Linked DNA regions of Elephas maximus indicus. The main gene of each other region encodes a partner of the protein of the gene in region 2 in a complex. Links are inferred from orthologs where the notes say so. Each region holds a gene or a part of one and is shown on either strand. Other genes may lie near its edges.

Region 1 (7,095 bases), on a different chromosome or scaffold from region 2:
CTTCGTTTCAGAAACGCATCAGCACATGTAGATAGAAAAAGCCGCCAAGTCTTGGGCACAGGCTGCCCACCACACTGCCTTCCTGCCTCCTGCCCCCTGCTCCCCTCAGCCCTCCCCCACAAAACCTCCTGGTGAAGCCCGCCAGGAGCCTGGTTGGAGGGAGGTCCCTTTTTGTATCACTACGTTGTTTAATCACCTTTTGAGACTTCTGTACGTGTTTAACGGTGCCCTTGCCTCTCTGCTTCTCTGTTTGTTCCGTAACTCGGCTTGGGAACAAGCAGCTTCCCACCCCCAGCCAGGAGCCCCATCATCCCAGGCAAGGAGCCCCGTCACCCCGGGGGCGGGGGGAAGGAATGCCATCATCCAGCCAGGAGCCCCATCACCTTTGGGGGGAGCCCTGTCACCCCTGGGGGGAAGGAATCCCATCACCCAGCCAGGAGCCCCGTCACCTTTGAGGGGGAGCCCTGTCACCCCCAGGGGAAGAATCTCATCACCCAGCCAGGAGCCCTGTCCCCCGCCCCCCCCCACTTTGCTCAGTCTGATGGGTACCCATGGGCTGCACAGATCCACCGGGGGACGGAACAGAAGAGAGTCCAGAAGTCCAGCCACCGCACACAAAGGGTTGATCTCCCTCCATTTCTGCTCCATCTCTCTCACCTTCCCAGCACACGCCTCCATGGCCATCCTCCCACCCGCCATTCCCAGCCTCCCTCTCCAGTTCTCTCCGGTCCAGTCTCAGCCTCACCCTTCCGCAGGCTCATCCTGTAAAGGCCACAGTGGACCTGCCAACCCTGTAGGGGGACCTGTCTGACACGGCTGCTCCGCTCCCCGAGATGCTCCCCTGGCCACCCATACACCTTGCTTGCTCCATCGTCCTGCCCATCTGGACCCTCCTGCTTGTCCCCCAGCCTCGGCCACGCCCGGCCTCGGCCACGCCCGAATCCCACCTTCTCCCAACCCAAGATGTACACGTGCAGCCTCAGATGCCCAGATTTCCCAGATGGGACAGGTCCAAATGCAGTCCTAACACCCCCAAACCTGGGGCTTCCAAACTTCTCACTCAGATGCCGCCAGACCCGGGGCTCCCCAACTTCCAATCACGCGTGGTAAGCATGTGGATGGATTGGAGTTGCTACATCCAAAATGTTGGAAACACCCTGGCACTTCTCTTTCCCATGCCCCGAGTCATCAAGAGCAGGTCTTTCCTCTTCAGAAAGAATTGTCATCTGGCTGCCTGACGCCAGCTCCATGCTGGCCGCCTGGGTTACTGTCGTTTTAAGACAGGGAGCAAAGGCCCTGAGATCGGAGAGTGCCTGTTTGAGAAACAGCGAAGAGACTGCTGTGGTTAGAGGAGAAACAAGTAAAAGAGAAATAAACTACACTATCAGGGAGGTAAGAGGGGGTTCAGTGTGGAATATAGAGGCTTAGGGAACAGAGGGGCCCCCAAATCTGCAAGCAAAGTAACAAGAAATAGGCCAGGGCACAGAAACAAAGCCGTTCCCCAGAAAATGGGGCAGGGTATCTAGAAATAGCCCGCAAACTTCTTTAAAGTTGCCTTTCAGAAGCAGTTGGAGAAAACCAGGCCCAGGGACATGCGCAGAACATCCACCTGTGGCCGCTGTGTGGCCTTCCACCAGGGGCAGTGAGGGGACACAGCCCCAGCCAGGGGATGGAACCCGGACAGCGGGAGACTGCACAGATGTGACACCCCATAATAAGTCCTGCTACGAATCCAAGAGGCCTCCAGGACAGGAGCCACCTGGGAAAGCTGCTGCCCGCGCACCTTAGTTAACATAGCCCCACCTGTGTCTATGAATAAACATGAATCCTTTCCCACCCAAGAACTTCTAAAACTCAGGCCCGTCTTTTGTTCTGTGAGCTGAGGGTATGCGTTGCTCTAGGCCCTCCTCGTCTCCGCTTGCAAGCCTCTTCAACAAAGCTTTGCTTGTGTGGAAAACTATGTGCCTTACCTACTCATTCTTGACCAGTCAGAGGCAAGAACCTTATCCCGGTAACAGTTTCTCCTGTGAGAGCCTTGCTCTCTCTCTCCTCCTTCCGTATTCCACAGAGTCCACAGTGACCCTGTTAAAATCTCAGTCAGGTCACACTCTTCTCAGCCCTCCGATGGCCCCTGTCACACTCGGGCTGTCACACTTGGGGTCAGAGCTCTTGTCCACATGGCCTTCATGGCCAGGCCAGGCCACTGGTGCCTCCCCGTGACCACAGCACCCCCTGGCGTTCAGGTCAGGCCTCGCGACGTGGGCGCTTAGGCTTGCCCTGCCTTCCCCAAGGCTCCTCAGGCCTCCTCACTTGTGTACCCCAGGAGGGTCACCTAGAACTGCAGTTTCTGGCGCCTTCCTGTCTCCTCTCCCTGCTGTTTTTCTTTTCAACACTTACTCACACTGCGGTTTACCCATCTTGTTTATTTGCATGTTTTCCCCACTTGAATGTAAGCTCCAGAGGTTGATCTTCTTTCTTTTGTATTACATTGTTTGGGTTATCCCTGTGTTCTCTGAACCTAGAACAGTCCCTGGCACATTTTGGCACTCGGTATGTATTACTGCCACCCCACCCCCGCCAACATCGTCTGTCAGTGTGTGGCACTGTGAGGGCTTGAGTGTTGCTGTGATGCTGGAAGCTATGCCACCAATAATCCAAATACCAGTAGGGTCACCCATGGTGGGCAGGTTTCAGAGGAGCTTCCAGACTAAGACAGACTAGGAGGAAAGGCCTGACAGTCTACTTCCAAAAATCTGCCACCGAAAACCTTAGGAATCACAACAGAACACTAACTTGCTTGCTTTGGACACGTCATCAGGAAGGATCAATCGCTGGAGGAGGAGGTCATGTTTGGTGAAGTCGAGGGCCAGCGAGGGTGAGGGAGACCCTTGAGATGGATTGGCCCAACAGCCACAATAATGGAATAAACATGCCGGCGATCCTAAGAATGACTCTGGACTGGGCAATGTTTTCATTCTACTGTACACAGGGTCGCCTTGAGTTGGGGACGCTATCTATCTTGTATTGCTGAGAAATAAATGGATTCAGAATCGAAATAATCTATAAATGGTTAAAATAAAACCTGGAAGCCAGCCACATTCTCCAGACGCACCAGTTACCGGTGGTACCCATAAGCAAGTCGTTGTACCACAGGGCCCAGGTTGATGCACAGGTGGTTCTCCAGGGTATCTTTCCACTTCGGTTTTCGTGGCATCTCCAGGTCGGCACTACAGCTGCCTCCATCTCAGTTCTGGCTGTGCTGTGTTCCGTCGTGGGGCTCGATGGGCCACCATCACTTGTTCCGAAAGGCAGTTAATACACCACGTTATTGTGCGCTGTCGCGGGCGCTCTTGCCCACATAGCTTTGTACACGCAGGTCAAGGTGTGCTCAGGATAAACTCCCAGGAGGAAGGCTGCTGCATCTCCAATACGGCCCAAGGGCCCCCTGTTCACGGGGTGAGTCCGCGCCGTCCCTGTCTCATCAACACTGATGCTCACTGCTCTACTTGTCAGTGCTGCTGATCTGGGAGACCGTGTGTGCGTGCGTTCGGTGTGCGCGCCTGGGGGTGTGCGCGCGTTCGGTGTGCGCGCCTGGGGGGGTGAGTGTGTTCGGTGTGCGCGCCTGGGGTGTGCGCGCGTTCGGTGTGCGCGCCTGGGGGTGCGCGCCTGGGGCATGTATGTGTGTCCACATTGGGGCGATACGCGCGCGTTCGGCGGGCTGGACCACGGGAGGTCGGGGGCGTCACCGCCTGGAGCGGTCCCCGCGGCCCCATCCTCCGAGCGGGGTGAGGACCCAGCAGAGCGGCCTGGAGCGCGGGTTCCTAGGGGCGGCCGGAGCCGGCCTCACGAGGCAGGTGGCGCTCACAGGACACCGTGGGCGACGACTCAGCAGCACCGACCGCGTGGGGCGCCATGCTCTGGGCCGCACTGCGCAGGCGCACGCCTGACCCGCCGCCTACCGGCCCGCGGTGACAGTGCACGTGCGCGCCCCTCCGCTGCCGGGCTCGTGCGCATGCGCGGTCTCAGCTCCTCGGACATGTGCGCCTGCGCGGTGTCGGGGTTAGGGGGGTCGCGCGCGTCCTGGTTGCCTGGATACGGATGCGCAACAATAGCGGCGGCGTGCGCTGCTCTAAACCGGCTTTGGGGTGACGCTCGAGAGGTGGTTGGTCCACATTCCCCGAGGAGCCGGAGGAGGAGTCGGTGAGATCTCTCGTCGTCCCCAATCTCGTCCCGGGACCCCAACCCCAAACGGGGAAGGGGTACGCTGACCCCGAGCACCGTCCCCGGACCTCGACCCCAAACACAGGGAGGGGGAAAGCCGTCCCCGAGCCCCGGAACCCGACCCCAAGCCGGGGATGGGGGACACTGACCCCATGCTCCGTACCTGGACCCTGACCCCAACCCGGGGATGGGGTACACTGACCCGGTGCTCCGTCCCTGGACCCCGACCCCAAACCCGGGGATGGGGTACACTGACCCCGTGCTCCGTCCCTGGACCCCGACCCCAAACCCGGGGATAGGGGGACACTGACCCGGTGCTCCGTCCCTGGACCCTGACCCCAAACCCGGGGATGGGGTACACTGACCCCCTGTTCCGTCCCTGGACCCCTACTCCAAGCCGGGGATGGGGGGACACTGACTCCATGCTCCGTCCCTGGACCCCGACCCCAAATCCGGGGATGGGGGACACTGACCCCGTGCTCTGTCCCTGGACCCCGACCCCAAACACGGGGAAAGGGGACGCCGACCCCAGCCCGACCCCAAACCAGCGGTTGGGGGTGAATGGACCCCTGGGCCATGCCCTGTGCTCTGCGCTGACAACCCACCCTCCGCCAGCAGCCACCTTGGTTCTCCCACCTGGCCCCGTCTGCCCACGCGATGCCGCTTCCCGACACCATGTTCTGCGCGCAGCAGATCCACATCCCTCCGGAGCTGCCCGACATCCTGAAGCAGTTCACCAAGGCCGCCATCCGCACGCAGCCTGCGGACGTGCTGCAGTGGTCCGCGGGGTGAGCGCGGGGCAGAGGCCTACCTCCCAGACCCGCCCAGGGCGTCCCGGTCCCGGGGGTTCGGCCCCCTTCTCGAGGATGGGCCCCCTTCCCGGGGATGGCCCCACTGCCCCACGGCAGGGAGCCCAGAGCAGTGCCTGGCAAAGCTCTTTACTGTGGGTGAGGTACGGACCTAAGTACCTCCTAGGAAGCCTGGTGGCTGATGAGCCCTGAGGCCAGCGTGGTTCACAGCACACGGGAGCTCTAGGGCACTTTCCACAAAAGTTTCTAATCTTAGCTTACCAGTCAAAAGGCCCTAGAGCCTTTACTGCAAACCTTTAGATGTTGACCCTAGAACCTTTACTGCAAACCTTCAGGTGTTGACCCTGGAACCTTTACTACACACCTTTAGATGTTGACCCTAGAACATTTACTACAAGCCTTTAGATGTTGACCCTAGAACCTTTTCTACAAGCCTTTAGATGTTGACCCTAGAACCTTTAGTACAGACCTTTAGCTGTTGACTCTAGAATCTTTACTACAAGCCTTTACATGTTGACCCTACAACCTTTACTACAAACCTTTAGGTGTTGACCCTAGAACCTTTACTACAAATCTTTAGGTGTTAACCCTACAACCTTTACTACAAACGGTTAGATGTTGACTCTAGAACCTTTACTACAAACCTTTAGATGTTGACTCTAGAACCTTTACTACGAGCCTTTAGATGTTGACCCTAGAACCTTTACTACGAGCCTTTAGATGTTGACCATAGAACCTTTTCTACAAGCCTATAGATGTTGACCCTAGAACCTTTACTACGAACCTTTAGATGTTGATCCGAGAACCTTTACTACAAGCCTTTAGATGTTCACTCTAGAACCTTTACTACGAGCCTTTAAATGTTGACCCTAGAATCTTTACTACAAGCCTTTAGATGTTGACTCTAGAACCTTTACTACAAGCCTTTAGATGTTGACCCTAGAACCTTTACTACGAACCTTTAGATGTTGACTCTAGAACCTTTACTACGAGCCTTTAGATGTTGACCCTAGAATCTTTAGTATAAGCCTTTAAATGTTGACCCTAGAACCTTTTCTACAAGCCTTTAGATGTTGACCCTAGAACCTTTACTATGAATCTTTAGATGTTTATCCTAGAACCTTTACTACAAGCTTTTAGATGTTGACTCTAGAACCTTTACTACGAGCCTTTAAATGTTGACCCTAGAATCTTTACTACAAGCCTTTAGATGTTGACCCTAGAACCTTTACTACAAGCCTTTAGATGTTGACCCTAGAACCTTTACTACGAGCCTTTAGATGTTGATCCTAGAATCTTTACTATAAGCCTTTAAATGTTGACCCTAGAACCTTTTCTACAAGCCTTTAGATGTTGACCCTAGAACCTTTACTACGAACCTTTAGATGTTGATCCTAGAACCTTTACTACAAGCCTTTAGATGTTGACTCTAGAACCTTTACTACGAGCCTTTAAATGTTGACCCTAGAATCTTTACTACAAGCCTTTAGATAATGACCCTAGAACCTTTACTAAAGCCTATAGATGTTGACCCTAGAACCTTTACTACGAACCTTTAGATGTTGACCCTAGAACCTTTACTACGAGCCTTTAGATGTTGACCCTAGAACCTTTACTACGAACCTTTAGATGTTGACCCTAGAACCTTTACTACGAACCTTTAGATGTTGACCCTAGAACCTTTACTACGAACCTTTAGATGTTGATCCTAGAACCTTTGCTACAAGCCTTTAGATTTTCCTGGAAAGCTCTTCGACCCTTTTTGGTGAACAGGCTTGAGCAAAAGCTCAATTTAACCATGACCGGAATTAGCATAAACAGATTTAAGATTTTTTGTAACTAGCTTGTCAGTTTTGCTGACCTTCTCTAAACCGTTCAAAGGGAATTTCACCAGTTTGGTAGAACTGCTGTAACAAATGACCACAGACTTGGTGGCTTCAGACACCACAGATTTATTCACTTAGAGCTCTGGAGGTCAGAAGTCTGAAATTAGTTTCACTGGACTAGAGCCAGGTGTCAGGGCTGCTGGGCTCTGGGCCCAGCCCCCTGCTCACAGGAGCTGGGA
Region 2 (6,997 bases):
AAGGAGGAATAATACAAGTCATAATATTTGACCTATTTTTAAGGGTCAGACCATGGTTCAGATCTGGCTGTGCTGTCTACTTTAGTAGCCCCCCTGAGCTTTGATGTTCCCTGGTGTAAATCAGGGATGATAACCCTGACCTCATAGGCTGTGATGGCCGTGGAGGTGCAATGTTCAGATTTCCTTGAAGAGAACCTGGTGTGGGGAGTGTAGTTGAATGACAGCCCAGCTATAGCCACTCTGGGCATCTGTGCCACGGCTCCACTTTACTTAAGCTGCTCCTGATCAATGTCTAAACATGGTGGGAATATTAGGGCAGGACAAGGGACTCCTCCAAAAGGCAACCTTTGCTTGAGGACTCCCTGCAAGCCTAGCTGAGATTTTCCCAGAACCACACTGCAGCAATTTCCTGCCCAATCTTCCTTCCCTATCTCTTTTCATAGGTGTCAGACCTACACTACGGTCTGAAGCACTCCCTGCATACTCTGCTCCCTCCCCCTTACCCTTCACAGGTGTTTCCCCCAGTTCAGTTCTTGTACATCTAATCCTATCGTGGTGTCTGCTCCTCGGAGGACCTGAACCGGCACTCAGACTTCTTGGGAGGATTAGATTAAATAAGGTATACAAGGGCCTGGTACAAAGAGGCACTCGGTGAATGTTAGGTCCTTTTGCCTTGTCTTCCAGTCCTGTGCTCTTTCGTTTTTCACTTCTGTATCTGGCCACTCCCACCACTCGGTGCAGCAATGCCTACAGCATCTGAGATCTGTATCATCAGTGTCCCAGGAGAAAAGAGACAGCATGGATTTGGTAATTTGGGTAATACTGGGCCATTCACCAATGTGTGGCCAAGGTGGAAGGAAGCCACAAATGATAGTACCCTGAGCTGTAACACTGAGGCACCCCTACTGCTTCTGAGCCTATAGGTGTGAGGGGAGGGAGTGTTACTGAAACCCAGGAAAGAACAGGCGCCTTCGGGGGAGCTGTGACCGTCAGTTAAGGGACACAGCCAACCCAAAGATAACCCATAGGAAGGGAGCTTGGAATAAATTCCTCAGCCCCACTCTCCTCCTTCCTCCAGTCTCCTGCTCTGAGCTCTCCTTTAGCAGGATGCATCAGGAAGCCAGACATCTAGGACATCTATTGACAGAAGCAGACTGCCACATCTTTCTCCCACGGAGTAGCTGGTGGGTTCAAACCACTGACCTTTCAGTTAGCAACCGAGCAATTAACCACTGCACCATCAGGGCTCCTCTGTAAAAATTACAGCCTAGAAAACCCTATGCGGCGGTTCTACTCTGTCATATAGGGTCTCTATAAGTTGGAACCAACTAAACAGCACACAACAACTCTCCAGTGATCAAGCCCTGCTTATCTCTCTGCAGGACAGCTGCCCTCCCTTCTGGTGACCTTTCCCTAGATGGGTCCCAGGGCCAATAAAATGCCCTGAACAGTGGGTGACATCACATGCTGTCCTGAACTGTTCTCTAATTGTGTTACACGTTTCTCAATTTTCTTCAACCACATTGTAGACTCTTCATTTTCCTCACTTAGACCCCCTACAGGACCTGGCTCAGGGCTGAGCCCACAGTAGGCAATTATAGTAGGCATGGTATCTCAATACTGGCTCTGCTATCTGTTAGGTGTGTGGCCTTGGGACAATAATGGCACCTACCTCTCTGGGTTGTTGTGAGGATTTAAAAGAAATAATGATGGAGTGCTCAGAACAGCACCTGCACATTCAATAAATGTAGCTATGAGTCAGAATCCACTCAATGGCAACAGGTTAATCTTTACCGAAGCAGACTGCCACATCCTTCTCTTGCAGAGTTGCTGGTGGGTTCAAACGGCTGACCTTTCAGTTAGCCGTGGAGCACTTAACCACTGCACCACCAGGGCTCCCGCAGTGTAAATACCCCAGAATTTTGGAGCCCTGGTAAAAAAAGAGCTCAGCTGCTAACCAAAAGGTCTGCAGTTCGAATCCAACAGCCGCTCCTTGAAAACCATATGGGGCAGTTCTCCTCTGTCATATAGGGTTGCTTTGAGTTAGAATCCACTCGATGACAGTGGGTTTTATCACTACCCAAACTCCATTGATTGAGATATCCCAGATCCCTCCCTTTTTCATTATCTTCCAATGACTCATTTGATTGCCAAGTCCATTCCCCCTCGTCTCTTCACCCTACTGTCCTACATTAAGCCTCACCTGTTGTCTTGATTACCAGGACAGCCTCCCAAGGGGTCTTTCTCCCTCTGATATAAGCTTCCACAGCACCCTGCACTTCCCCTTTCCTAACATTCATCACAGTTGTGGTGACTTACACAACAGCTGTATTTACCAATACAATTAAGCTGCATGAGGTAAAGGACATCTGTCTGGTTCACGATTGGTGATCAATAAATGTGTGTTAAGAAAAACAAATTTTCAGAAAAATTTGCTGACTCCTGTCCTAGACTTTCTTAGGAATGGACCACAAAGTCCCCAAGACTTGATGGACATATTAAGAGATGCAGTTTATTCAGTGCCCCAAACCCATAGAATGGCCAGAATGAGATTTATCACACACCCATCTGTCCAGTTCACTGCTTGTTTCAAATCGTTTGGTTCTCCAGAATATTCAGGATAAAGTTCAAATGTCTCCTTTGTCCTCATTTCATTGCCAGGAAAACTGAGGTACCCAGGAGAGAAGCCAGGGCATAGAGGGTAAATGATGGCTTGAGAGCAGGTTGAGGAGCTGAGGTGTCCAAATTTCCAACCTGGACCCTGGCCCAGCCCAAAGCCAGTATATAGATGTGCAAGAAGCAAAAGAAGGAACGAAGTTTAACTTGCCTGCCCTGAGCTAGGCAGGAAGGCTCTGTAGGGAAGAGATGAGGGCAGGGCCTGCACGGGCACATCCCAAAGCCTGGCTGCCACCCCAACTTACGCCTTCTTGATCTGGGCATCTTCTGCATTTCGAGTGATTTGGAGCACAGAGTAATAATCTTGGCCCATGGCTGACTGGCCGGCAGGCAGTAGACGGATGGTCCCTCAGACTCCAGCAGGGCTGTTAGTCTGCATTCCTTGGTTGCTCCTGACAACCACACTGGGGCACTCTGGGAGTTGTAGTCCTTCCTAGGCAACCCACTTTCTCTGCTCTGCCTCTTAGAAGAGCGAATGAATCATTTGGGAGAACTGGGGCTGACGCTGTAGTCCTGATAAAGGTCATCCAACTCAGAAACCAGGGAATCACAGAACCCTGTTTTATTTTCTTTGTTTTTAAGGAGAGCAGCAATTAGTTTTAATTGAAAGTTTTTGGAACAAATGCATTTGGCTGATTTTTTTAAGTAATTTTTTAATTTTAGAATTGTTTTAGATTTATAGAAAAGTTGCAAAGATAGCACAGAGAGTTCTCATATACCCTACACCCAGTTTCCCTACTATTAACATCTCATATTAGTATGGTAACTTTGTCACAATTAATGAACGAATATTAATATATTATTGTTAACTAATATTTTATTCAGATTTCTTTCCTTTTTCTGTTCCAAAATCCCATCCAGGATACCACATTACATTTACTGGTTATGTCTCCTTAGATCGTCTTGCTGGTGACAGTTTCTCAGATGTTCCTTGTTTTTGATAACTTTTAACCATGTGAGGAGTGCTGGTCAGGTACTTCGTAGAATGCCTCTCAACTGGGATTTGTTTGACGTTTTTCTCATGATTAGACTGCAGTTATGGGTTGTTGGGAGGAAGACCACGGAAGTAAAGAGTCATTCTCTTCATATAAAATCAAGGGTACATACTATCAACATGAATTACCACACTTTTTATTTTGGCATTTGATAACTTTTAGTGGTTGCCATGGATTGAATTGCGTCCCCCCAAAATATCTGTCAATTTGGCTAGATCATGATTCCCAGTATTGTATGATTGTCTACCATTTTGTCATCTGATGTGATTTCCCTGTGTGTTGTAAATCCTATCACTATGATGTAACAAAATGAATTAGTGGCAGTTATAGTGATGAGATCTTCAAGATTAGTGTTTTAATCTAAACTCTTTTGAGATATAAAAGACAGAAGCAAGCAGAGAGACATGGGAGACCTCATACCACCGAGAAAGCAGTGCCGAAAGCAGAGCTCGTCCTGCACTGCAGAACCTGAGGTTCCTGCACTGAGTTGCTCCCAGACCAAGGGAAGACTGATGACAACGACCTTCCTCCAGAGCCAACAGAGAGAGAAAGCCTTCCCCTGAATTCAGACTTCTAGCCTACTGGACTGTGAGAGAATAAACCGTTAACGCCATGCGCTAGTGGTATTTCTGTTACAGCAGCACTAGATAACCAAGACAATGGTGTAGACTGTTACACCACACAATAAATAGAGCATTCTAAATAGCAAATGAGGGAAAACAGCACCTCATTAAACTCAATATGAGAAGGACGCTTTAAAAATTTTTTCTTATTGTACTTTAAATGAAGGTTTACAAAACAAACTAGCTTCTCATTAAACAATTAGTACACATATTGTTTGGTGACATTAGTTACCAACACCAGGACATGTCAACACTCTCCCCTTCTTGACCTCGGGTTCCCTATTACCAGCTTCCTGTGCCCTCCTGCCTTGTCGTCCTTGCCCCTGGGCTAGTGTGCCCATTTAGTCTTGTTTTGTTTTATGAGACTGCCTAATCTTTGACTGAAAGGTGAACCTCAGCAGTGACTTCATTACTGAGTTAAAAATGTGTCTGGGGGCCATACTCTCAGGGTTTCTTCAGTCTCTGTCAGAAGAAAGAATGAATCTGTTTTTTTTCATGAGTTAGATTTTTGTTCTACATTTTTCTCCAGCTCTATCTGGGACCCTCTAATGTAATCCTTGTCAGAGCAGTTGGTGGTGGCAGCCAGGCACTATCTAGTTGTGCTGGACTCAGTCCGGTGGAGGATGTAGTACTTGTGGTCCATTAGTCATTCGGACTAATCTTTCCCTTGTCTTTGGTTTTCTTCATTCTCCCTTGCTCCAGACAGGGTGAGACCAGTGGAGTAATTTAGATAGCTGCTCACAAGCTTTTAAGACCCCAGATGCTACTCATCAAAGTAGAATGTAGAACATTTTCTTTATAAACTATGTTATGCCAACTGAGCTAGGTGTTCCCCGAGACCATGGCCCCACATCCCTTAACCCAGTAATTCAGTCCCTCAGGGTGTTAGATTTGTCTATGGAGCTTCCATGACCTTGCCTTGAACAAGTTGTTCTGCCTTCCCCAGTATCATGTACTGTCTTCCCCTTCACCAAAGTTACCACTTATCTATTGTCTATTTGTGTTTTTCTATCCCTACCCCTCCCCACCCTCGTGACCATCAAAGGTTGTTTATTTTTGTGTATAAATCTTTTCATGAGTTTTTATAGTAGTGTTCTCATACAATATTTGTCCTTTTGTGATTGACTTATTTCACTCAGCATAATGTCCTCCAGATTCATGCATGTTGTGAGATGCTTCACAGATTCATCATTGTTCTTTATCATTGTGTAGTATTCCATTGCATGTATGTAGTACCATAGTTTATCCATTCATCTATTGATGGGTACCTAGGTTGTTTCTTTTTGCCATTGTGAACAATGCTGCAGTGAACATGGGTGTGCATATGTCTATTCAGCTCTTATTTCTCTAGGATATAGTCCTAGGAGTGGGATTCCTGGATTATATGGTATTTCCGTTTCTACCTTTTTAAGGAAGTGCCATATCGTTTTCCAGAATGGTTGTACCATTTTCCATTCCCACCAGCAGTGCATAAGAGTTCTACTCTCCCTGCAGCCTCCACATCATTTGTTATTTTCTGTTTTTTTGATTCCTGCCAGTAATGTTGGGGTGATATGTTATCTCATTGTTGTTTTGATTTGCATTTCTCTAATGGCTAGTGTTCTTGAGCATTTCATCCTGTGTCTGTTAGCCACTTGAATGTCTTCTTTGGTGAAGTGTCTGTTTGTTTCCTTTGCCCATATTTTATTTGGATTATTTGTCTTTTTGCTGTAGAAGCATTGGATTTTCCTGTAGATTTTAGAGAGTGGACCTTTGTTGGATTTGCCATAGCCAAAATTTTTTTCCCACTCTGTAGGTTCTCTTTCTACTGTTTTGGTAAGTCTTTTGATGAGCATAAGTGTTTAATTTTTAGAAGAGCCCAGTTATCTAGCTTATCTTCTGGAGTTCTGTGCTGTTAGCTATGGTTTGTATCCTGTTAATGCCGTGTATTAGGGCCTCTAGCATTGATCCTATCCTATTTTTTTCTTCTATGATCTTTATAGTTTTTGGTTTACATTTAGGTCTTTGATCGATTTTGAATTAGTTTTTGTGTATGGTGTGAGGTATGGGTCCTGTTTCACTTTTTTGCAGATGGACATCCAGTTTTGCTAGCACCATTTGTTGGAAAACTGTCTTTTCCCCATTTGATGGACTTGGGGTGCTTGTCAAAGATCAGGTGACTGTAGGTGGATGGATTTACATCTGGGTTCTCAATTCTGTTCCATTGGTCAATGTATCTGTCATTGTACCAGTACCAGGCTGTTTTGACTACCTTAGCTGTATAGTGGGTTCTGAGGTCAGATAGTGCAAGTCCTCCTACTTTCCTCTTCTTTGTGGTACTTTACTTATCTGGGACCTCTTCCCTCTCCATGTAAAGTTAGTGATTAGTTTTCCGTCTCTTTAAAGAATGCCGTTGGTATTTGGAAAGGGATTGCATTGTATTTGTAGACTGCTTTGTGTAGAATTGACATTTTCACAATGTTGAGTCTACCTATTCATGAACATGGTATGTTTTTCCATTTGTGTAGTTCTCTTTTGGTTTCTTGCAGTAGTGATTTGTACTTTTCTTTGTATAGATCTTTCACATCCCTCGTTAGATTTATTCCTAAGTTTGTTTTTTTTAGGGGCTATTTTTTTTTTTTTTAATTATAAATAGTATTGTTTTCTTGATTTCTTTTTTGCCATTCTCTTTACTGGTGTATAGGAATCCAACAGATTTTTGTA
Region 3 (7,847 bases), on a different chromosome or scaffold from region 2:
GGTACACTCACCATAAGATTCTTTGAGTCATTCCAGCAAATTAACAAATCCACAGGGGCAGTGAGAACCAGCAGGGGCTGGCATCCGCCTATATGAAGGACAGTGTCTAAATTGTGGGGTCTAATCTAGCTTTGGGTGGATAGGTATATGAGAAGGCTGCTGGTCTGAAGGACGGTGTCCATTTGACTTGAGCTCTGACCTACCCCTGGGTGGGTAGGGTTGAAGAGAGCGTGTGCCACTTGGGTGGCTGGCATGCAATGAGGATGGGGAAGTGGGAAGGTGAGGACTAGATCCATTTCCACAATTTGGGGGTTGGATTCATGCTGATCCTTACCATGCAGTTAGCAGAGAAGGTGGAATTTGCTCACTTTGACCCTTGCTTACTGCAGTACGCAACTCTTGATTCCAGAGCCCTCACTCTGACTGAACTAAGATGCTGATTCCAAGCCATGAGAGCCATTTTTATAAAACATCACAATATTCCACCTCTTAAAAAAAAAATTCCATGACTCTCCATGGCCAGTCCTCAAATAACAGCTTAATAGACTCCTGACCATCTGGCCCCAATTCTCCTTTCAGGCGCCTCCAGATCTCTCTGCTGCCCCGACATGTCCTGAACACCCTGCATCTCTGCTGGTCATGCCCTTTTATGGAATTTAGACTCCTCGAAAAAGCTGATGAAATGTGTTCATTATTCAACAAATATATACTGAATGCCTATCAACAATATGGTCCCTGGGTGGCACAAATGGTTTGCACTCAGCTACTAATCAAAAGGTTGGCAGTTCAAACCCACCCAGTGGCACCACAGAAGAAAGGCCTGGTGATCTGCTTCCATAAACACTACAGCCAAGAAAACCCTATGGAGCAATTCTACTCTGCACCACATAGGGTTATCATGGGTCAGAATCAACTTGACAGCAATGGCTTTTTTGTGTGTGTTTGTATTCAACAAATACAAACTGAGGCACCTTGACAGATGCTGGGAATACAAAACACAGTCTCTGCCCTCATGGAGCTTACAGGTGAGTAGGGAAGACAAACATTAATCAAATATTAACATCAATAAATGAATGTAAAATTGAAATTGTCATGAGTACTATGCAAACCAGATAACAGGAGGATTTGACCCAGTTGGAAAAGTCAAGGAGAGCTTTCCTGAGGGGTGATGTTCAAACTAAGATTTGAAGGAACAGTAAAAGTCATCCCAGCAAGGAGAAGCAACAGCCTTCCAGGTATGGGAAAAGGCGCTGGTATAGGAGTGAGCATGCGGTCAACACAGCAAAGAGAAGGCAGAGCCTTCCAGGTAAGAGAAAAGGCGTGGTATAGGAGTTAGTGTACAGGCATGGGGACAGAGTGCCAGGCTGTCCACATCCTGCTCCTAGTCCAATGCACCTGACATTTTATATTAAGATCTCAGAAACACTGACATCCTGAGATCTATGCATAGACCCCCAATACTGCTCTTCTCTCATGCAATGCTGATGGGAGTGCAAAATGGTATGGGGGGAATTTGGCAGACTCTACACATGTCTTCTCTGCGACCCCACAATCTCACTCTGGGATCCTAGCTCAAAGATCCTAGCTCAAAGATACACCTGTAAAAATACGAAACGACATATGCACGAGGTTATTTTGCACCACTGCTTAGAATAGCCAAAGACTGGGAAACTACTCAATTATTCATCAACAGGAGATCGATGATACACAGCAACACCATCAATTACTATGCAGATGTAAAAGAATGAGGAAGACCTCTAAAACAGGGAGGGACATTCAGGACATTAACAAAGCAAGGTGCAGCAAGTATATATAGCATGCCATCCTTTGTATTAGCAACAGCAGTGAGAAAGGAATGCCGTGTGTGTAAAAATTAAAAACTCTACAGACCAAAAGCAAACTGGTACAAATGAACCTAACTCCCCATCAGGTTGGCACTGGTGTCCTAACCACACAGGGAAAAGATTACAGCTGACTTTGGAACACAGTATCTTCACTGTACTTCTCTAAAAACAGAAGAAACTACAAAGATATCTCAACTTCATTTGAAGTGGAGTAACATAAAAGAGGGAAGGGCCTCCTGCCGCTGCTCCTCAAAAATAAAACACGCGGGAAGGGGGCAGGGTCCCTAATGCGGGAGATTAAGAGTAGGAACGGGTCCACGGTGTGCTGCAGCCCATCATCAGTGGGACTTGGGCGGGGCTCGTCACCTCACTTGGCATCTGTTCCCTGTCCACGAAATGGTGATAGTACCCATTTCACAGAGTTGTTGAAAGGAATGCTATTTTTCATATACACCAATAGGCAGCATCTTGGATCAAAAGAAGAAAGCCCCTTCCCACAGAAACAGCCGCCTCAAATCTGGAGAAGGTGCCACAAGAGACAGACTGAGATGCCTCGCCCAAACCAGGGAGACAGATCCAGGTAGGGCTGCCAGATTAAGCAAATAAAAATACAGGACACCCAGTGAAATTTGAATGTCAGCTAAACAGCGAATAATTTTGTATTACACTATATCCATTTCCGTCCAGTCGAATTCCGACTCATAGCTACCCTATAGCACAGAGTAGAGCTGCCCCACAGGGTTTCCAAAGAGTGGCTGGTGCATTCCAACTGTCGACCTTTTGGTTAGCAGCCGAGCTCTTAATCACTGCGCCACCAGGGTACTGAAATGTTTTTCGTTGTCTATCTGAAGTTCAAATTTAATTGGGCGTCCGGTGTTTTATCTGGCAAATCCCTACACAAGGCGCGCTCCCCGAGGACGAGGGAGGAAGAGGAGGAGGAGGAAGAGCAGCTGGCAAACGGGACCCCAGGTGCGGAGCTAACCCTCACATGGCCTTTGGGCGCCCCCTTAGCCCTAGGCTCCTAGCAACGTCTGTCAGAACCGCCTCTGCCCGCTGCGACCCAAGGAAAGTGGGACGAACCTTTCTCGGACCACTGCGCCTGCGTTCTCGATGCGCACGCCGCACGCACGCGCCGAACTCCTGCCGGCTATCCGCGTCCCGTCGCTAGGCAGCAAACTCGCGCACCCCAGAAGCCAAAGGGAGCGCGCCACAGAGAGGAGAAGCGCGCGGGTGGGTGAGCCCAGGAGCGCGCGAAAGGGCGAGGAGCACGACATAAAGAGGAGGCGGTGCGCACGCGAGCGCGCGCGGGGTGGAGGGATGCGGCATAGACACTGTGAGGAGCGTCGGAGGAGCAGAGGAAGTGAGCTGAGGGATTCTGGGAGAGGAAGGGTTGGTGGGCTCCGGGAGAAGCAGGGAGGGGCGCCTGCTTAGGGTAAGTGCTTTCTCCAGGTAGTCAACTCCACGGCAACTGGTTTGATTTTATGTACTAGTCACCATGTATTATCTCTTTTGATCCTCTCAATTTTTGAGGTACATTTGTTATTTCTCTTTTACAGATGAGGAAGCGGGAGCTCAGATAAACTGACTTGCTGAAGATCACAGGAGAACCAGGACTGGAACTTGGTCTGGTTCCACAGTCTACGTTCATACTGCCACCGTATACTGCCTCGTAAACGTATGGTGTTACAGGTCTTTGAACCTATTGGTTGGGACGGAACCCCTGCTGAGAGTTTGCATTCTTTACAAGTTCCCAGGTGATGCTAAAGCTGCTGGTTAGGGGCCAGTTCTAAGAGCCACTAGTAGAGCTGTGGTTCTCAAAGCTTATTATACATAAGAATCACCAGGGGATCTTGTTAAAATGTGGATTCTGAATCGTATACCTGGGGCCTGAACGAACTGGTTGGAAGCCAGTATGACCCAGGCTACATTACCTCCAGCTCTCGAAATCTGATTAAAAGTAAATCAAAGGGCAAGTAAATCAAAAGTAAATAAAGTAGTTTTCTGCTTAAGTAGTAGAAAGTGGAGTATAGTATTAGGTGTGGCAGCGCCCTTGACCAGCAGTAGCTGCAGGGCCTGTTAGTTTGCCTCCTCCTGCCCTAGGCTTCTTGTGAAATAAATAAGCCTTTGTATCTGTGGGTTTTATCTGTGTCATAGGAGCCCTGGTGGTGCAGTGGTTAAAGCACTCAGCTGCAAACTTAAAGGTCAGTGGCTCAAGCCCACCAGCTTCTCTGCAGGAAAAAGATATGACAGTCTACTTCCATAAAGATTTACACTCTTGGAAACCCTATGGGGCAGTTCTACTCAGCCCCGTAGGGTTACTGTGAGTCAGAATTGACTCAAGGGCAGTGGGTTCGGGTTTGGATCTAGGTCATAGGTGACTGTGGGTTCCAGTGTCACAAAACCACGGCTCCCTAACCCAAGGGTGTAAGTGTGTAAGTGGAGGCCTGTAGCCATCCCTAACCATCAATGTATTTCCTCTGAGGCCTGATGACCCCCTAGAACCTTTTGTTTGCTGGAGAGCATTAGGAAAAAGCTCACTTGAAGATAAGAGCTACTGGCAAGTCTCCTTTGTTGGCTCTTCTGGGGCAGGGTGGAATCCAGAAACATCTCATATTTATCCTGAAATGAATCATGAGTTGGTTAGAATGTGTCCATTTCTTAAACCAACAGTGGGACTCTGCTTGGATTTTTTCCCAGGCCCCACAGAATGGAAACGGGGTACCTGAAGAGATGCTTTGGAAATTGCCTGGCCCAGGCACTGGCAGAGGTGGCAAAGGTTCGGCCCAGTGACCCAATAGAGTACTTGGCTCACTGGCTTTATCATTATCGGAAAACCACAAAGGCAAAAGAAGAGGTATGTATGTGCACTGGCTCTCCTTTGGGGGGCTTCCAGCTTTCTCTAGAGTAATTCTGGAGCTTGCCTGGGGAGTTTCTTGGCTTGGGCCCAGAAGTGTGGATAGTCTGGGGGCTGCAGAGAGAATCCAACCCAAGGATGCTGTGGAGTTGATGGATTTAGAGCTACTAGGAGAATAAAGCTAGTTATAGGAGCGAGCTGGGCAGGCATGAAGGGCTGAGGTCTGTCAGCAAGGAGGGCGGGCTCTTTTGTACTTGCCACCTGGGTACTGAACTGATTCAGCTCTGTCACATCACCTAGAGCATGCAAGAGAAGACCCAGCTGAAAGAGGAGTATGACAAGAGTCTTCAGGAAACAGAAATGGCAGAAATGGTGAAACAAGGAGAGTATCAAATTCAACAGAAAGATGAAAAGGATCACAAGGTAGGAAGGAGGAAATGAGCACTGGGCACAGACATCACACAAATGGAGACCAGGACGTCAACAAGTAGCCTGCCGCAGTCCAGTGCACGTGAGCCTCCCAGTAGCCCGCCTTTTGCTCTGTAGTTACATACTTACCTGTAAATCAATCTTACAATCCCTGTCTATGAAAAAGAAATCTTAAAGGGCAGTTCCATTTTAGGTTCCAGGAAATACCATTGATGTTATTAGTTTAAAAAATTAGATTTTTAAGAAATCTAATAACTTCACCTGGAAAAATATAGCTTCATACAAGATGCTTTGCCTTCTTTTAAAAATTTGTTTAATATTTTTCAGAAACCAAATATGGTTATCAGTGTATAGTTCAGATATTTTATTTCATGCAAGCTATTTATATATGTATTTTGTTCATTGTGTGCTACTTACTTTTGCACGTACTTACTTTTGCACCAAGCCACAGATGCCTCCTCTATGAAGCTGTAATGTTGAAATAATTGGAAATAATTGTGGACTAGCATATCTTTTATTTTCCACAGTTTTATGGCACAATCTCCTGAACAGTGTCTTGGGTCATTTTATGCATTCTACAAAGTACACCTGAATAGGGAATTGACTTAATTGCAATTTTGGACTTGATACCTGAGATCATTTTAACTATCACTATGTCCTATGAACTGAAATCTTTAATGCAGTCTGTACAATTCACTAGCTTTTGCATAAGCAATGCTAGTTGTATAACCCAGTGCCCATTGCTGTCGAATCTGTTCTGACTCATAGCGACCCTATAGGACAGAGTAGAACTGCCCCACAGAGTTTCCAAGGAGCACTTGGTGGATTCAAACTGCTGACCTTTTGGTTAGGATTTCCAAACCCAACTTTTTTTAAGATGTGAAAACGTTACAAGCTTATGTACATTTATACTAATATGCTCAACTTTCCTAATAACAGTTAAGATTTATTTTTGAAGTCTGGATGTTTTATAAATATATTAAATCAAAAGAAAGATGGTTTCACGCCATTATTTGACATAGTCCAAGGGACCTCTCCCTCTGGGATGATACAGTCTTTGAACAATAATTGGAGGATGGGAGAGATGAGGTCATTTAATAGAAGTTGCCCTCACCTTGCCACCCACTCTAGCCCTTTTCTAACACATGCTTCACTGTTAACAGAAATATATGTAAGGCAGAGAGAGACCCCAAAATGAAATGCCACCCTTGTTTTATGGTGCCTTTACTAAAGAATACTTTGCTCGTGCCAATATTTTGAATTGTCCCCTTGTATTTTTTATTACACTCAGGAGGTTTAAACCCTGTAGCAATATTCCTTAATAATATTTGGATGAGTAAAAGGCATGTCATTCCTTTGCCAGGTGTGAGACAAAAGTAATTGTAAGGAAAAATGGGAAATGAGAGCTAGCACGATGCCTGGACCAAGTGCAAGTTCTCGGTGTTAGGAAAGAGTTTATATGCAAGTTGTAGTTATGGAAATTGATTCCCTTTGTTAGAAAAAAATAAAGAGAATCAAACAGTAATCGAAAACAACAGTGAATTTGCTTACCTGGCAAGGGAGAGCCATGACATTCAGGTGCAAGTTACTCTCCAAGTAAAAGATGAAAAGGCTAGATGAAGGCAAACAGGTGGTCGTTATGTTGTTGTTAGCTGCAGGTCAGAACTGAGTTGGGTCTGACTCATAGCTACCTTATGTACAACAGAAGGAAACATTGCCCAGTCCTTTGCCATCCTCACAATTGTTGCTATGTTTGAGCCCATTGTTGCAGCCACTGTGTCAATCCATCTCATTGAGGGTCTTCCTCTTTTTCATTGACCCTCTACTTTACAAAGCATGATGTCCTTCCCCAATGACTGATCTCTGCCGATAACATGTCCAGAGTACGTGAAACAAAGTCTTGCTGTCCTGTCCTCGCTTCTTAGGAACATTCTGGCTATACTTCCTCCAAGACAGATTTGTTCGTTCTTCTTGTAGTCCATGGTATATTCAGTATTCTTCCCCACCACTGTAATTCAAAGGCATCAATTCTTCTTGGTCTTCCTTATTCGTTGTCGAGCTTTCAAATGCATATGAGGTAATTAAAAATACCATGGCTTGGGTCAGGCACACCTTAGTCTTCAAAGTGACTTCTTTGCTTTTTAACACTTTAAAGAGGTCTTTTGCAGCAGTTTTGCCCAGTGCAATACGTCATTCTTCAGACAGTGTCCTGCTGCTGTTCACAAGGTTTTCAACGGCCAGTTTTTTAGAAGTAAATCACCAGTCCTTCTTGCTAGTCTTTCTTAGTCTGGAAGCTCCACTGAAACCTGTCCACCATGGGTGACCCTACTGATATTTGAAATACTGATGGCATAGCTTCCAGCATCACAGCAACACACAAGCCACCACAGTAAGATAAACTGACAGACGAGTGGTAGAAAGAGGTGAAGGTACATCAAATAAGATGAAATTCTAAATTTTGATTTCTGATTGGCTCATGAAGTGGATTGAAAACGTTTCCTTGCTATTGGTCACCTTCAGATTTGGTGTCACTAGTGCTGGGAAACCTGGGAACCTAGCGTGGGTTACATAAGATTTCAGCATGCCTGCTGTTTTAGCTGGCATAGTGGTTAAGAGTTTGGCTGCTAACCAAAATGTTGGCAGTTCTAATCCTCCAGCCACTCCTTGGAAACCCTATGGGGCAGTTCTACTCTGTCATGTAGGATCACTATGAGTCAGAA
Region 4 (7,224 bases), on a different chromosome or scaffold from region 2:
AATCCCTGACATGATCTATAGGGTTTTCATTGGCTGATTTTCAGGAGTAGATTGCCAGGTCTTTCTTACTAGTCTGTTTTAGTCTGGAAGCTCCACTGAAATCTATTCAGTATCATAGCAATGCGTAGGCTCCCAGTGCACATGAGGTACACTGACAAGAAATTGAACCTGGGTCTCCTGCACGGAAGGGGAGAATTTTACTACTGAACCACCAATAACAAGGTTCAAAAAACCAAAACAGTATAAAAAGATATGTACTGAAAAATCTCATTCTAATCCACCCTGTTTCTCTCTCACCTCAATAGGCAACCTTTTTTTAAATTTATTTCTCAGTACTTCATTTTGCAAATACTGGCAAACAAGAATGTTACACTTCCTCTTTCACAAAAGGTTGCCACACACAGTTCTGCACCTTGCTTTTTTCCATAACAGCACACACACAGGTTCTTTATTCTTTTTACACTGAGTTGCACAGTACTCAATTTGGTGGATTCACCAGGGTTTGTTTAACCAATCTCCTACTGCTGGATTGTGTTCAATCTTTCACTAGTAAATAAAACAAAAAAATTGAACCAGCTGCTGTTGAATCAATTTCAATTCATGGCAACCCCATGCGTGTCAGAGTAGGACTATACTAAATAAATAACACTGCAAAAAATAACCTGTATGCATGCCATTTCATGTTAACACAAGAGTTTCTATAGGAGGGATTCCCAAGAGTAGGACTACTGAGTCAAAGAGTAAATGCATCTGTAATCTTGGTAGATAATTGCCAAATTCCCTTCAAGAGGGGTTGTGCCATTTAGAGTTTAGCCAAATGGTATCTCAGTATAGTTTTAATTCACTTTTTCCTACTAAGAGGTTGGGCATCTTTTTACACATTTAAGAAACCCTGGTGGCACAATGGTTAAGCACTCGGCTACTGACCAAAAGGTTGGTGGTTCAAACCCACCCAGCAGCTCTGATGAAAAGACCTGGCAATCTGCTCCCATAAAGATCAGAGCTTAGAAAACCCTATGGGGCAGCTCTACGTTGTCACATGGGGTCGCTATGAGTCGATTATCAACTCGGCGGCACCTACAACAAAAACCATTTGTTTTTCTTTTTTCTGTGACCATCCATGTGCTCTATGCATCTTTCTACTGTTAATCTTTTCTAGGAACACATTATACATTATGGAGATCGGTACTTCATGATACGAGTTGCAAATCTTTTTTCCAAGTTTGTCATTTTGTGTTTTGACCTTGCGTATGGGGTTTATTTGGCCATGCAGAAGTTTTCAAATTTTATGTAGTCTTACCAAGCTTTTCTCTTATGGCTCCTAAACTTTAAGTCATAGGAAAAAAGGCTATCCCACTGCAAAGATAAGAAGAAATTCATCCCTCTTTTCTTCTAAACCTTATACGGTTTAAGTTTTAAATATTTAAATCTCAGATCCATTTGGAGTCTATCCAAGTATATAATATTTGAATTCTACTTTTAAAAAAATGGCTACCCAGTTTTCCTAACACTGTTTATTAAAAAGTTCTATTAATTATATTACATATTTCCTTACTGTTTCCTGTACTGTTTCCTTACTTTTTTCTTACACCACCCCTACTTTTGGCCTCTATACCTATTCTTTGAAGCTCAACTGAAATCCTATATATTTCCTGAAAACTGAAGTTTTCTCTTTTTTAAAACACTGACTAAACAGGGAACATAACACTGTATAAATGTAAGAGAATAAAAAACTGGAAATTCAAGAAAGGATGGAACAAAAAGGAAGATTAAAAATATTCAATTCTATTTGATAATCTTCAGCAATACTCTTTTTATATTCATTTCCAAGTCTCTAAAATGACAGTGTTTACCAACTGCAGAACAAATACAAGGCTTTAAAACCTTAAATGTTTGTAATGAAAAATACTAACTGAAGAAATACCAACAACCTAAGAGACCATCAACAGAGAACTTTTAAAAGTAAATAAATTACGGTTCATCCATACAGAGGAATATTACACAGAAGTTGTAAATAGGACGAATGAGATAGATTCAGATATATATCCGGAGTGCTAAGGGACTTTGTTAAGGGGGTCAAGGGAAAGAAACTATTCCCTTTTAAGAGGGAAAAATATTTGTAAATGCATAGATAATCCCTGGAAGAACAGAAAGTGTTAACAGTGGTTGCCTCTGGAGACTGGGACTTGGGGTTGGAGGGAAAGAAAACCGACTTTTATTTCTCATTTTATATCCTTCTGAACCATGAAAAAAAAGCTTTTTACAACTATCACGTGCTACTTTTATAACTACAAAAATTAATGCTAAGCACTAAGGATCTAAATGGATTAGTGTTATTTACATAAAAAAAAGGATAAAAAAGAGCCAAAAGCACGATCACCCTGCCCAGAAGTTACCTGAACAATGGTGAATCCAGATCTAAGAATAATGTCTTGTATCTCCTCCTCTTTGTCAACAATATCTGGTTTGATAATGGCCAGAGTTTTTTCTACATATATCTGAGGTGGGGGCATTGATATCTCCATCTTGGCTTTTCAGAGTAATTTAATAGTTTCTTGACAGGTATCAACTGCAATGACAGTACCCCACCCACCCCAAAATTAATGTAATTGTGATTAAGAATAGCAATATCAGGTGCTTGATTTTCGTTTATAAAGTCCGAAATGGCCATATATTTTTCTATAAGCATTGTTCCAGTGATATTTCTATTCTGCGTCCAGGTCATGCCTTGGGTTTTTGTAAGGCATTCACCGAGAGAAGGACCGAGGGGCTGCCCGAAGGCCTGGGACTGTGGCAGACGCGCGGGGCGGAGGCCAGGGGCGGGAGCGGGAGCAGGGGCATGGAAGGGTGGGCAGCCTCTACTGGCTGGCTGCCTGAAAGAAGCAATTCCTCCCCACAGGGAGGACTGCTTATTTAGAGCCAGGACTGACTGAAAAGCAGGGTCCTCAGGACCCCTCTGGGCTGCACCCACCGGAGGCACTCACCACAGCACCGCACCCAACTCAGTGACCACAAGTTGTTGCTAGGAGACCAGAAGCCCCAGCTCCCGGATGGTGGCTGCAGAGGGCCAATTCTAGCAGTTCTTCCACGCTTGCCTGGTTTCTTTTAACCAAGAAAGGGAACTAGCCCCAGACGTTTTTGTAGGTCTAGCCCTCTGACTTGAGGCTGTAGAAGAAGGACCTCCCGTTCCTGAAGGCTTTCCACTGCTGCCTGCCTTCCTGTACTACTTCACTTCACAACTTATTAGTGCTGGACCTACTGAGGCTCAGGGCTTTCCAAACCAGTAGGCACAATGTCAGTCCTTCAGGGCCTTGAATCACCCCTAAACACAAACTCTGGGAACACAAGGTCATCTCAGTATCATCCTTATTTTCAAAGACTCAGAAATCAGATTCCAGAGGCTATACTCCTTTTTTCCTGCAGTTCTCCACATACAGTACTTGAATCTGTTCCAAGAGCACTACACTTTTTGGGTTTTTTTTTTTTTTTTTTGCTGTTGTTTTTACATTTTCTTCATAATTATCTTATTTCTTCTTCCTACTTATTTGAGGGATGCTTCAATTATTCTAACTTTACAAATGAGGAAGAGCGCTGGTGGTGCAGTGGTTATGAGCTCGGCAGTTAACTGCCACAAGAGAAAGATGTGGCAGTCTGCTCCCGTAAAGATTATAGCCTTGGAAACCCCATGGGATAGTTCTACTCTGTCCTACAGAGTCACTATGAGTCGGAATCAACTCAACAGGTTGGTTTGTTTGTTTTTTGGTTTTACAAATGAGAAGACAAATCAAAGATCTCCCCCAACCCCACCCCACCCCGTTCCAGACAGTATATGTAAGAAAACCCCTATCAAGTATCTTCTTCATTTCACAGACTGTGCTATCCTCTTTATCCTGGTTTCTTTAATCATTAAAATAGTCTGAGGTTTGTGAAATAACATTTATTTATAGATCAGCAATAACAGGCTTAATCTAGTTACCTCTAAATTAAGCTTGTAGAACAAAGTTGTAGGCAACAATTGTGGCATAAACCCAAATTTCAGCTTTCCTCTTTTCTTTATAGTATGTTCACAGGCATCTTTGACTCCTTGGTAATGAGTTAAAGGTCTTAATTTTATTAGAAAAGAAAATGGAGAAGTGGTAAACAACTACTGAAATCTTCTCTGGATCAGAGTCTTAAGAAGAGGTCCAAACTCCAGAAGAGATCAGGGTAGCAGCTCCAGGTTAACAAAATAGGTTTCCCATCATCCACCAGGTTGGTTGGTTGTCATTCCAGACTACTTAGATCTCTTCTTTTATCTAACCAAATACTCAGCACCTACAGGGTCAAGGCACAGAGAGCAAGCTATGAATCTTAAAAGCTACAGAGATTTAAATGCAATTTATTTCTTCTTCTGCATATAAATTTGACTGTACTTCTTTCTTTAAAGTATGATGCTGCCCAGAAAGAAATTCTCAAATGTCCTCATCTGGCTACTATGTCTTATCTGCTAAAGATGGGACAGTGTGAAAGTACATTAATATCAACAGATGTAGTAATCCAAAAATGGCCAGTGACTCTAGCCGCTGGTTTACACATCTACGCCTCTGACTTGAGGCTCTAGATGCAGGATCTCCCATTACTTATCTATCCCCAGCTCTCCTGAGAGCTCTTCGCTGCTGCCTGCCTTTCTGGACTACTTCACTTGCTAATTTATTAGAGCTCGGGGTGTTCCAAGTCAGTATGCACAATGTCAATCCTTCCTTCAGGGCCCTGATTTATCCCTAAAGATAAATAAACTCTGGGAACACCAGGTCATCTCAGTATCAACCTTATTCTCAAAGACTTTCTGAAATTAGATTCCAGAGGCTATATTCCTTTTTCCTGCAGTTCTCTAAATATAGTACCTGAATCTGTTCCAAGACTTCTCGCTGCATCTCCACAGCCATGTGGTACACATGATGGTCAGAGTCATTGTACATCACAGCATTTTGGAACATCAGCATCAGATCCCGCTGAAACTGGGCCATGGTGCGAATCTGTCCCTTAGACAGATTTCTCTTCAAGCTAGTTAAGTCCATGGGTCTGCAGGTGGCCAAGAGAAACCAGGGGAAATCAAACATTCATGTGGAATATGTGGAACCTAACATGTTCTCTTGGAGAACTAACCAGCTCTTAATGAATAATAGTAAAAATAACAAACCCACCAGATAATAAAATAACAACAGCAGCTAATATTTGACTGCTTTCAAGAGACCAAGCATTATGCTAGGCGCTTTATATATTAACTCAATCTTCTCAATAAACTTATAAGGTAAGTATTATCCCCACTTGACAGATGAAACTGAGATCTAAAGAGGTTAAGTACTTGTCCAAAGTCACATAGCCTGGATTCCAGTTCAAAGGCAGCCTGACTCCAGAACCCACAAGCCCAGGCGTTTCACTCAACTATCATAGCAGAATGGAGCCCTGGCGGTGCACGTGGCTGCTAACCAGAAGCTTGGTGGTTCAAACCCATCTCGTGGCTCTGCAGAAGAGAAGCCCTGGCAATCTGCTGCCATAAAGATTATAGCCAAGGAAACCCTATGAGGCAGTTCTTCTCTGTTATGTATGGTCGCTGTGAGTCAGAATCAATGGCACACAACAACAACAGCATCACAGCAGGAAAGCTAGCCCTAGGTACCAAAGCTGTAAAGAATCCGATGGTCAGTTTGTCACATACTAGTTACTGACTGACTGTTTACAATGTACAATCTTATACTAGGTAATTAATCTACTTTTATTATTGTATAAATCAAAGCTAATTTTTTTTTCTCCTTTCATGGGAGTAAAAAGAATGAGAATCAGGTAAATAAGATAAATTATTATTCAATGAGGCAGAGATAGTGGGTATGTAAGAGAAGGCACAACAGTGTAGAAAGAGGACTAAACTGGGAGGTAAGAATTTGGGGTTTAGTTCTAGCTCTGCTATTAACTATAAGTCAGGACCACCTCTAAGCCTTAGTTTCCTTACATTTAATATGAAGTGTTTTTTTCCAAAGGTCCCTTTCTGATCTTCTATACTCTATTAATAAACACACTGGTTTACAACAGTGCTTTAAATATACTATGCTATCAAAATTCAAAATACTGCAAACAACCAGTGTTAGTAACATCCCTTTGGATTACCGTATCTGCCTTAGAATACTTATATAACTGCCTGGTCATACAGCTTTCCTTTTCAAGTTCTGCTCCAAAAGAACACTATCAAAATCTACCAAAGGCTAATGGTGAGATTATAATAAATGGATCATATTACTTAAAAATATGGGGGAAAAAAAACTCCAAAAAACAAAAATTAGAGTATCCTTTTGTTCCCTTCATTCCTTCTCAAATGAAAAGACCAAGCTAACCATAACTTTACGTTTTTAGCTGAAGTAAAGAAATTATCTAATAGATGAGAAATGAAGAATGAAAAGACACTATCCAAGGCACAACAATTGGTCTCTATTCACCTGGAAAAACACAGAAAGAAGGAAAGTCAGGAGTAGGAGGAAGAAACGGAATGTGCAGCTAACTGCCTCCATGCACAACTGCCTCCTTTGCCATGAGACCAGAAGAACTGGATGGTGCCTGGCTACCATTACTGAACGTTTTGATCTAATATCCTATAGAAGAATCCTGATCAAAATGCAGAACAGAATTTCAAATTCTCATGGAATCCATACTTTCTGGAGCCATTGAGGCTAGATGAACTCCTGAAACTATCGCCCGGAGATAATAGTTAAACCTTAAACCAAAAATATCCCCTGAAGTCTTCTTAAAACCAAATGATAGTTTAGCTTAACTAGTAAAGAATGTCTGCCTTGAACCTTATGCTCTTTTGAGATCTATCTATATGGGTTCAAACTGATAACAGCAACTTGAAAGATCAGATAGGAACCTTAGACGGCAGTGCGTTTATGTTACTGGGGGAGGAACAACTCAGAAAAGGAGAGTGAGAATGATTGCACAGCTTGAAGACTATAATCACTGTCACTGAATTATACATGCAGAAACTTGAACTGGTGTATGTTTTTGCTGTGTATATTCTCAACAGCAGTGACAACAAAATAACTTAAAAAAAAAAAAGGAATTAAAAGACAGATATAAAAGCAACCAACCTTTCTTGACCCCTTTTCCACTGACCTTTTCACCACATCTTTGTATCCTGGGGCCTGCCTATCTGACACAGGCTTCAGAAATGGACTGCTGAACCTGGTAAGAGAC

What was found.
Region 1: DNAJB13 (region 2) and ROPN1L share a complex: the UniProt entries of both Homo sapiens proteins name them as parts of the axonemal radial spoke complex. The link is inferred for Elephas maximus indicus from reciprocal best matches to the Homo sapiens genes DNAJB13 and ROPN1L.
Region 3: DNAJB13 (region 2) and DYDC1 share a complex: the UniProt entries of both Homo sapiens proteins name them as parts of the axonemal radial spoke complex. The link is inferred for Elephas maximus indicus from reciprocal best matches to the Homo sapiens genes DNAJB13 and DYDC1.
Region 4: the proteins of DNAJB13 (region 2) and NME5 are in contact, whole or in part, in a cryo-EM structure (PDB 8WZB), measured with the Mus musculus proteins. The link is inferred for Elephas maximus indicus from reciprocal best matches to the Homo sapiens genes DNAJB13 and NME5. Residues at the interface, in NP_705755.2 of Mus musculus: Thr156, Lys157, Lys158, Thr181, Ile182, Asp183, Arg185, Trp188, Arg189, Gly191, Thr192, Arg193, Ile194, Thr195, Phe196, Glu197, Pro281; in NP_542368.2 of Mus musculus: Glu52, His53, Asn56, Met193, Lys199, Pro200, Lys201, Leu202, Cys203, His204, Phe205.

What each region holds. Positions count from the first base shown.
Region 1 is NC_064820.1:1,264,253-1,271,347, reverse strand, and holds the start of ROPN1L (ropporin-1-like protein), read left to right. Parts: upstream 1-4,094; 5' UTR 4,095-4,200; intron 4,201-4,836; exon of another isoform or gene 4,837-4,839; 5' UTR 4,840-4,878; coding exon 4,879-5,009; intron 5,010-7,095. UniProt on the Homo sapiens protein: Functions as part of axonemal radial spoke complexes that play an important part in the motility of sperm and cilia. Important for male fertility.
Region 2 is NC_064825.1:48,558,178-48,565,174, forward strand, and holds the start of DNAJB13 (dnaJ homolog subfamily B member 13), read right to left. Parts: upstream 3,020-6,997; 5' UTR 2,990-3,019; coding exon 2,922-2,989; intron 1-2,921. UniProt on the Homo sapiens protein: Functions as part of axonemal radial spoke complexes that play an important part in the motility of sperm and cilia.
Region 3 is NC_064826.1:131,929,892-131,937,738, reverse strand, and holds the start of DYDC1 (DPY30 domain-containing protein 1), read right to left. Parts: upstream 3,011-7,847; 5' UTR 2,925-3,010; intron 1-2,924. Other genes in the region: DYDC2 (DPY30 domain-containing protein 2), read left to right, coding at 3,522-3,598, 4,542-4,698, 4,999-5,121. UniProt on the Homo sapiens protein: Functions as part of axonemal radial spoke complexes that play an important part in the motility of sperm and cilia. Plays a crucial role during acrosome biogenesis.
Region 4 is NC_064820.1:151,200,768-151,207,991, forward strand, and holds the start of NME5 (nucleoside diphosphate kinase homolog 5), read right to left. Parts: upstream 3,009-7,224; 5' UTR 2,985-3,008; intron 2,940-2,984; exon of another isoform or gene 2,570-2,939; 5' UTR 2,526-2,569; coding exon 2,397-2,525; intron 1-2,396. Other genes in the region: bromodomain-containing protein 8-like, read right to left, coding at 4,264-4,314, 4,884-5,061, 7,144-7,212. UniProt on the Homo sapiens protein: Functions as part of axonemal radial spoke complexes that play an important part in the motility of sperm and cilia. Does not seem to have nucleoside diphosphate kinase (NDPK) activity.